Kluyveromyces lactis: one gene and its partner. The protein of the gene in region 2 binds, or shares a complex with, the protein of the main gene of each other region. Links are inferred from orthologs where the notes say so. Each region holds a gene or a part of one and is shown on either strand. Other genes may lie near its edges. The genes, in order: ULP1 and PSE1.

Region 1 (3,715 bases), on a different chromosome or scaffold from region 2:
GTTTCAGATAGTAACAGGTTGTAACATGAGCGGAAAATCAATATACTTGAAACAAGTTGCTATGCTTACAATTTTGGCGCAGATAGGATGCCCTGTGCCCTGTACTTCTGCATCTTTCCCCCTATATCAGAAGCTTCATGCCCGTGTCTGTAATGATGACATAGAGGCGTATTCATCCACTTTCTCAGCAGAAATGAAAGACATGGCATATTTCATTGATGATATAACAGATAAGACTCTTATGATCCTAGATGAATTAGGACGTGGCTCAAGCATCGCAGATGGGTTCTCTATAGCTTTGGCTATATCGGAATATCTCCTTTCCAAAAATGCTACTGTATTTCTATCGACACATTTCAGAGATATTCCTAAAATATTGGCACCAAAGCCTCGTGTTTTACATCTTGAGATGAAAACTGAGATTGATCAGGAATCACATCTCAAAATGAAATATAAAGCCTCCACAGAATCAGAAGAGATAGAAGGATACGGTATGATGATTTGTAAACGAATTTTCAGTGAAAGAATTATGTTGGAAGCATACAAAATATCGGAATTACTTCGAGCTAGCAAAAGAAAAGGTTTGAAAATCATTGCAAAGGAAGATTCTTGTGATAATGCATGTCAAACTACCCAAATCAAACAGGTTTATTATTTAGTACAAAAACTCAAAGCGTTTTGTAATCATGAAAAAACAATTGACATTGAAGAGTTGCGAAGTCTACAAGATGATTTCATTTCAACGTTTGAAATAGTCTGAAACAAGTGGTAAGAATAGCAAATTTTAGTATTCGTCAACGAAAAGAGTTTAATTCTATTTACTTAATATTAAATGACCTATGTAATTTCTCATGTTTGCTGCATCTTTAGAATCAAAGCTCAAAGTGTAATCCTTGCTCATATAAAGTGTATTCAGACAAACATATATGCCGCAGTCAAATCCGTTTGGCTGCTGTGGACAAGCAATATGGCAAAGTTCGAAATCCTCACCAAGCTTTTGTTTGCTTTCTTCCATCACATAAGACTGGAGATTTTTCATAATTAGGAAACTGACCGAATTCATTCCAGAAGAAAGAGAATCAAGATAATAAATTTTGTGTTGCTTCATTTCTATTATACCCAATGTCCAATGAGAATCATTCAAATTGATAGGAACGAAGATCTTATTAAGATCTAAAATATCAACCTTCTTTCTTTTCATCCATCTTCTTACACCTTGATAGCCTCTGTCAGCTAAAGTAGAATAAAAAAATGAGTTAAATGCAACAGTTTTGGCAGTGTTTTGTTCGATATACTTCATGAAAAACTCAATGATTGTGTCATTCAACCACCTTCTAGGGGCTAATGTCTTGAAATCTCGCACAGTTACTTCCAACATATACTTGGATGAAAGAACAGCGTTATCAGACCTATTGAAAGTTGCTTTCACTTCCGATAAATCTTCAGTTGATAGATCAGGTATCAGTTTTTGTGGTTTGGCGGTTTTCCTCACTTGCTCTACTAGTTTCCTTCTTTCTTCAATCAACTGAGAATAGCTTTTGAACTCTTCTTCAAAAGTAAGGAGAGAACGATCAAATTTCAACGTCTGATTGTAGATCTGTTTCCTTTTCTCTTCTAATGGATCAAGCTTGTGCTCTCTTATTATGACTATGTCATCAGTTGTAGATCCTCTTTCGGTACTTGGGCCTATTGATTTCCTGTTTTCCAAAATTAAAGCCTTAATCCTTTCTGTAAGCCTTACAATGTTGTTATTACTACTGTTTGTACTGGCATTGCTGCTGTGGCTGTTATCTCTTGAAAGAAGTTTGAGCTGATTTTCCCTTTCCTTTTGCATCTCAATCGGTACATGATATTCTCCGTTGAATAAATTTTTTAAATATGATACTTCATCGGACGGTTTAGCAATTAATGCAGTGGACTGCTGTTGCTGGTTCTTATGCTTGAGTTTTCTATAGAGTCTAGTTCCATATTGTACTCTTGTAGGTGAGGATTCTGTATAGTTTTCTTCATTAGTATTATCCCAATGGAAAGGATCCTTAGGTAACTTCAACACTTCTTTCGTTGGAGTAATTGAATGTTGTAACTGTTCCCTTAAATGCTCCTTCTCTTGGAGCAGTGAGTCTAAATGAATTTTCTTTCTCGGAGTCGACTCCTCATCAACTCCTCTTTTCAAACTGTCGTAATTTGCTCCAGTAGTGTTGGAAATGGTACGATCTTTCCCATTTTCTTGCTCCAAAGGATCAATCCAGGAAAACCATGTCTTTGCTGAATCAAAAAGAGTTGAAAGGACAGTATTATATCCCAACGATTTCCACCTACTTTCGCTACCTCTATCACGTGCTTCATTACCAGAATTTAAACTATCTTTGATACCTTTCCGGTCGAAATAGTATGGTTTAGAAGAGACATCTGCAGTTATCACCGTTGATCTGGAATAATCACTAATGTCATCAAACCCTTTTCGATGATACGATACCGTCATTATTTCTACGCCAGTTTCATATAAGTGGTGAAAGTTAGAATTTAACAAATGATTCGGTTACAATAATTAAACTAACACTCAAAACTAGTATTTCAGCTGCCATGTAGCCTGTAAGTTACCATATATTACCTCGTTTCTTCGTTCCTGAAGTTATTATTGTTGATAATTGAAAGCAGCTTTTCGACAGAGATGCAATCCATGTTGAGAAATGTATACTTATTTAAACATTACCCGGATACTATCACGTGCACAAAATTTCTGCCAGGGCCCTTCTGCCTGAAAAAGAAAATAAAGAAATTTGCCAGACTAAGATTACTCAAATTTGACATCATAACTATGTAGAGTATCTCTCAGGGTATCTATCAAGCGAAGTGAAAACGGTGAATACAGCGCCTATATCACAGCAGATACAAGGCTGTGTAGACAGTTTCAGAGCTGTATTAAATTACAACTTGGTTTTCAACCCAAAATATCATTAACAGAAACAAAAAGAAGTTTATCGTTATCGTCATCTATTGATTGTACTAACAGTCATAACGGAAATATCGAGATACACTTGCTATAAAGTTTTGAACAATCTCAAAAACATTGGTTGAGAAGTAGTAAAATTGGTGTTAATTAATAAACTTGATTTCAGTCTAATTTTTTGACTTTTCTATCAAGAAATCAGTATCTTGGATCAAGTATCTATTTTGACTGGAATATGAATGAATCGTCGAGTGAGAAAGGAACTGTAGCTAGCAGTGTGAGTGACGATTCGGGTGATATGTCAGAGGAGCATATGAGCAATTTGAGGAAGAGAGTTAAGAAGGAACCAGTCAATGCTCTTGAGGTTTCAGAATCTTTAGGGTATCAAACGTTTAGAAGAAAGATGAGGAAAATATGGACCAAAGAAGAAGATGATCTGCTTAGAAAATTGGTTAACGAATCGTTAGTAAATTTGGGATATCCGGATGGTATCAAATCTATTAAAACAATTCAGCAATCTAGTAATGTTGTCAAAAAAATTCCCTGGGATCAGCTTGCCAAGCAATTCGAATTGGATAATAAGAAAGCGACGGATGTGAAAAAGAGATGGACTAGTTCTTTAGATCCTGTATTGAAGAAAGGTAAATGGACACCAGAGGAGGATGAGCTTCTCTTAAAATCATATGAACACCATGGTCCGCAATGGTTTAAGATTTCCTACGTTTTAGAGAATAGAACTGAAGACCAATGCGCGAAGAGGTACAT
Region 2 (4,371 bases):
GGAATGCTGGAGCCGTAACTGCTCAAGATCTTTGCAATGGCGCAAGATGCATTTTCCGAGGAATTAACGTTATCTTCAGATCTGGATTCTGGCATGTTGACGATTTGGAATAAAGTTTCCAACGATCCCAAACATATGTCAGAGTAGGTGTTGGGGGCATATTGTGCACATACTCCGAGTAGGTATGCAGTACCCTGGCGAATGGAGGGTTCAGGGAATGTGAGGCACTCCTTAATTTTCTGAACGAAATGCTGTTTGAAAGGTGCAGAGTTATCGCCAGTGTATTCTATCATATCAGCAATTGCAATCAAGGCGAACAATAAAATGAATACCTCAGTCTCCTGCAAGTATGAATGTATTATTGGCCATAAAGTCTGGAACTGCTGTAGATAAGAAACACCTGCTGATTTGAAAACAGCAGCTAAAGATTTGTTAATCTCGTCAAGCAAATCTTCATCGGTATACTCATCAAGATCGTCATCAACATCTTCGTTGTATTCGTCATCCTGATCGTAACGGGATTTTGTTCTTTCGTAGACGTCGGTTAAGTTATTGTTCACACCTTGTGTAAATTGTGACAATTGCTCTTGATTTAATCCGTTGTTTCCGACAATTCCCAAACAATCAACAAGAGCATAGTGATACGACTTAGTAACTTCTGGCATCGGTTCAGAAATAATTCCAGAAATTAGCTTATTAGATGCAATTTGCCATAATTGTAAAACGATATCGTTGTCCTGTCCTACAGCCGATACCAAAGAGGTAAACAAAGCAGGAATTAAAGTAGCACCACGAGCTCTAACACCATCATGTAAGTAGAAATCAATAGATGGGACGGCAACTTCTGTAAGGATTTCCTTAACGTATGATGCAAAGAAACTTTTCAACACAGTGGCGTAAACTTGTAGAAGCTCCATAGCAGTCACTTTATCATCTAAAACTGAAGTATGAATAGCGATGTGCTTACCTTGAATTTGCACAACATCCCAATCTGTATACTGTTGGTAGTTTGCAGCTTCCTCTTCTTCAATTAAACTAACGTCCTGGGTAGCCTTGGCAGTTTCAAGTAGTGGCGGAATAACTACATCCAATAACGGAACAAAATCCTCACGAAGAATCCTGCAAACTCTACTCCAACTTTGTTCAAGGTAAGTCTTTAGAGGATCGTCGTCCTGAATACCTTCATTTTGATAAGTTATGAATAACTGGATCAATTCTTGAGAGTAGGAGGCAAACTTTTCTTTGCCCACAGCTAATGCAATAAGAGTAGAACATTCCATACACTTACCCTTCAAGACTCTGCTTTCAGTACCTGTATCGGTTCTCAACACGTTTATCAATAATGGCATTAATGTATCATAGTATTTGATGAATTTCTTTTCGGCTGCTTCTGCGATAAATGCGATAGTAGTTAAGGCCTGTTCTTGAACGTACAGCTTGGAACTTTGCAACATGCTTAATAAGTTAGTTAAAAGACTATCCAAGTAAGGTTCCATAATCGATTGCGTAGCTTGTTCGGAGAAGTTCACCAAGGCAGCCGCTGCATGGGTCTGAACTCTGTCGACAGAGCTTGAAGTGAGCTTAGAGATTAAAGCAGGCAAAATTTTTTCATGCGAAGTGCTTTGAATGAGAGGAGCGAAATCAGTGGATATCTGACCCAATACATTACAGCAACCGTATTGAACTCTTGGATGTGGATCATCGATCAGTGGAACAACCATTTCCAAAATCTTATCTATCTCGATCATTAATACATCACGGCAACCTTCTGCAGCAGATGATAACGCCATCAATGCTGCGAACCTCTCTCTCCATTCAGAAGATGTGATCATTTGTTGTAAGAATTGGAATAAAGGTGCGGCCAAGTATTTTCCGTTTAATTTCAAGGCAACACGATCCAAAGCTTGACGTGCCATATCGTAGGTATTTTCCTCATTATCTTCTTCTACATCATTCGAATTTTGCCATTCGATTGCTTGGTCATCATCGATGGAAACTTCAGTCATCATGACAAGGGTATCAAGTACCACTGATTGGGCGTAATTTTGATTATTTTTACACATCTGAGGGGCGCATTCACTGAAGACAGTTAACAACTCCAAAGCAGTCGTTCTGGCACTCGGTTCTAAATCTTTATTCTTGATGACCATATCTGCAAATTGGATAATTTGATCGAACATATCTTTGAAGAGTTTAGGAGCCAACTCAACTAATTCGATCAATGATTCGAATACGGCGGCCAAGGCCTCATCTTTACTGTCATCCAAAAACTTTGGCAAACTGTTCAAAAGACTTGGTAATAGAACACCTAGTTTGGCCCAGTTATTCTTTGGAAGCTGTTTGAAGTACCCAACAAACGCTGTAACAGCTGCAATCTTGACTTCATCGCTAGGATCCGTGAATCCACTCTCAAAGATAGGCAAAGCATGGTTGATGTCAATGGAATTGATTAGATGAGGCATACTTGAGAAAATTCTGAAACTAGATTCTCTGAAATTTGGATCTGTGTTTTTGATAGCTTCGAATAACGTTTGGAGTAACGGAGGCCACTCAGGTAATTCTTCTAACGCACATTCTGCAATTGCATCAGATAATTTGTGTCTAATATTGTTGGGTCTTTGGGAGATAAAACCCTTCAAAAGTGTATCTCTAATTTGCTTCAAGGCTTCCTTCGAAATATGGGTAATATTTTTGGCAATGATTATAGTCTTAGATGAAGGTGGCGCTCTCAAAGCTAGCTTACGGAACAAAACTGCAGACAAACCTGCAGTAGTCAAATCATCAGAATATGCAGATTGTTCCGCTAGAAACATCAACAAAACTTCGATGTGCTCCGGTGTAATCCAGTTGTTATTCAAAGCATCTTCTGCCGCCGAACGAATCGCATTGTCTGGTGATGCAAAGCCCTGTAGCAACTTCACCAAGGTGCTGTTCACTTCATCCGGTAGAACTGACATTGTTTCGAATCAGCCACCACAAAAAATGATTCAAAGGAAAAGGATAGTAGAAGAACAAAGAACAAACAAAGTAAACTATACTGCTATCAGCTTTTCGATTCTCTCCCTCAATAGAGATTATTGCTTACAAGCTCAATTTTCCTACCGTCAAAATATACTGATTGCAACGAAGGCGAACTTATGTTCAATGCTAAAACTTCAGCAAAAACCAGTAACTGTAACATAAAATGTACTACTATTCAATTTTCAATATATCTGAAATATCTGATCTTAGAACGAATTGTTCTTTCATGTATAATTTGGAATCACAGGAACAGAGAAGGAAGAAAAATTTGGCAGGTCAAACTAATAGTGCATCGTCCATAGTGATATGCGGGTAACACATAGTGGTGCTCTCTGTAATATCAAGATCGTCGTCATCTGTCATTGGACAGTGTTCTTAATATAGCAGAAGAAGGAAACGGTTAATTGATGTGAATATATTTCCATATTTGCTTTGTATTTCTGATAGATGTTCTAGTGCTTCTTTTCTTTTTTCTTGGCAGCCAATTGTTTATTCATTTAATAAGAAAGAATTATGAGTGGAAATGTATAATCTATATACATCGGTATATGGCAAGGATAACCAGTAACTTCCCCGAATGTTTCATTTTAAAGCTTTTCCCACCATAAAACCAGCGAAGAAGACTATACATGCCTGCATGTATATCTTCAATGAGGAAGTATGAAACACTGCGGTGAATGGAGTTGCCATCGTTTTAAAAAACTGACGTAGGTGGTGGAAAACACCTGACTGCTTATCATGCAGAATAAAAAGCAAAGGCATATAGTGACGGGAGCCCTGCATAACAATGAACTCGTCATAAATTTGATGCAATTTTTCATTAGTTTTTATCTCGATATCCATGTACTCAATGGAGTACGGTGATTCGATTCCATAAGTTTCTTTCACTTTGGCTACAATCTCATTTAAGACGTCTTTTTCAAAGTTTACTCCGGACTGAGTCTTGAATTTCATAGAGCCTAGAACTTGATTATCCTTATTAGGCTTCACGACGGTAACTTTCAATCGGAATTTGGTATGTTTTCCATTTTCGAAGAATTTTTTTTGTAATAATGTGGAGCTTCTTCTTCCAGAAAACTGTTCTGGGATCGGTTGCTGTGATTGTGAAGGATATTGTTGATGTTGTTGTTGCAAATGAAGTTGCGATTGTTGTAACTGTTTGTGGGAGCTAAAGTTACCTATTGTTTGTGTTAAATCTACCAAAGATAATTGACTAGAAGAAGCACTTTCATTATCAGAGGCATCAAAAGATTTCCAAAAATAATTTATAGATAAAGAAGGAACTTCTAGCTCAGATGCTGATCCAGTCCTGTAGTTTTCATCAACATCTTTCTCTACAAGCAAAGAACC

The links.
Region 1: the proteins of PSE1 (region 2) and ULP1 are in contact, whole or in part, in a crystal structure (PDB 5H2V), measured with the Saccharomyces cerevisiae proteins. The link is inferred for Kluyveromyces lactis from reciprocal best matches to the Saccharomyces cerevisiae genes PSE1 and ULP1. Residues at the interface, in NP_014039.1 of Saccharomyces cerevisiae: Asp346, Arg349, Gln350, Asp353, Leu357, Ser392, Ser393, Glu396, Cys429, Asn430, Gly433, Gln434, His470, Ala473, Ala474, Val476, Asn477; in NP_015305.1 of Saccharomyces cerevisiae: Gly51, Ile52, Tyr53, Lys54, Lys55.

The regions. Positions count from the first base shown.
Region 1 is NC_006042.1:1,013,259-1,016,973, reverse strand, and holds ULP1 (SUMO protease ULP1), read right to left. Parts: upstream 2,483-3,715; coding exon 815-2,482; downstream 1-814. Other genes in the region: MutS family protein MSH4, read left to right, coding at 1-760; KLLA0_F10978g (uncharacterized protein), read left to right, coding at 3,186-3,715. UniProt on the Saccharomyces cerevisiae protein: Protease that catalyzes two essential functions in the SUMO pathway: processing of full-length SMT3 to its mature form and deconjugation of SMT3 from targeted proteins. Has an essential role in the G2/M phase of the cell cycle.
Region 2 is NC_006039.1:1,223,446-1,227,816, forward strand, and holds the start of PSE1 (importin PSE1), read right to left. Parts: upstream 2,958-4,371; coding exon 1-2,957. Other genes in the region: KLLA0_C14190g (CBS domain-containing protein), read right to left, coding at 3,604-4,371. UniProt on the Saccharomyces cerevisiae protein: Functions in nuclear protein import as nuclear transport receptor. Serves as receptor for classical and arginine/glycine-rich nuclear localization signals (cNLS and rg-NLS) in cargo substrates.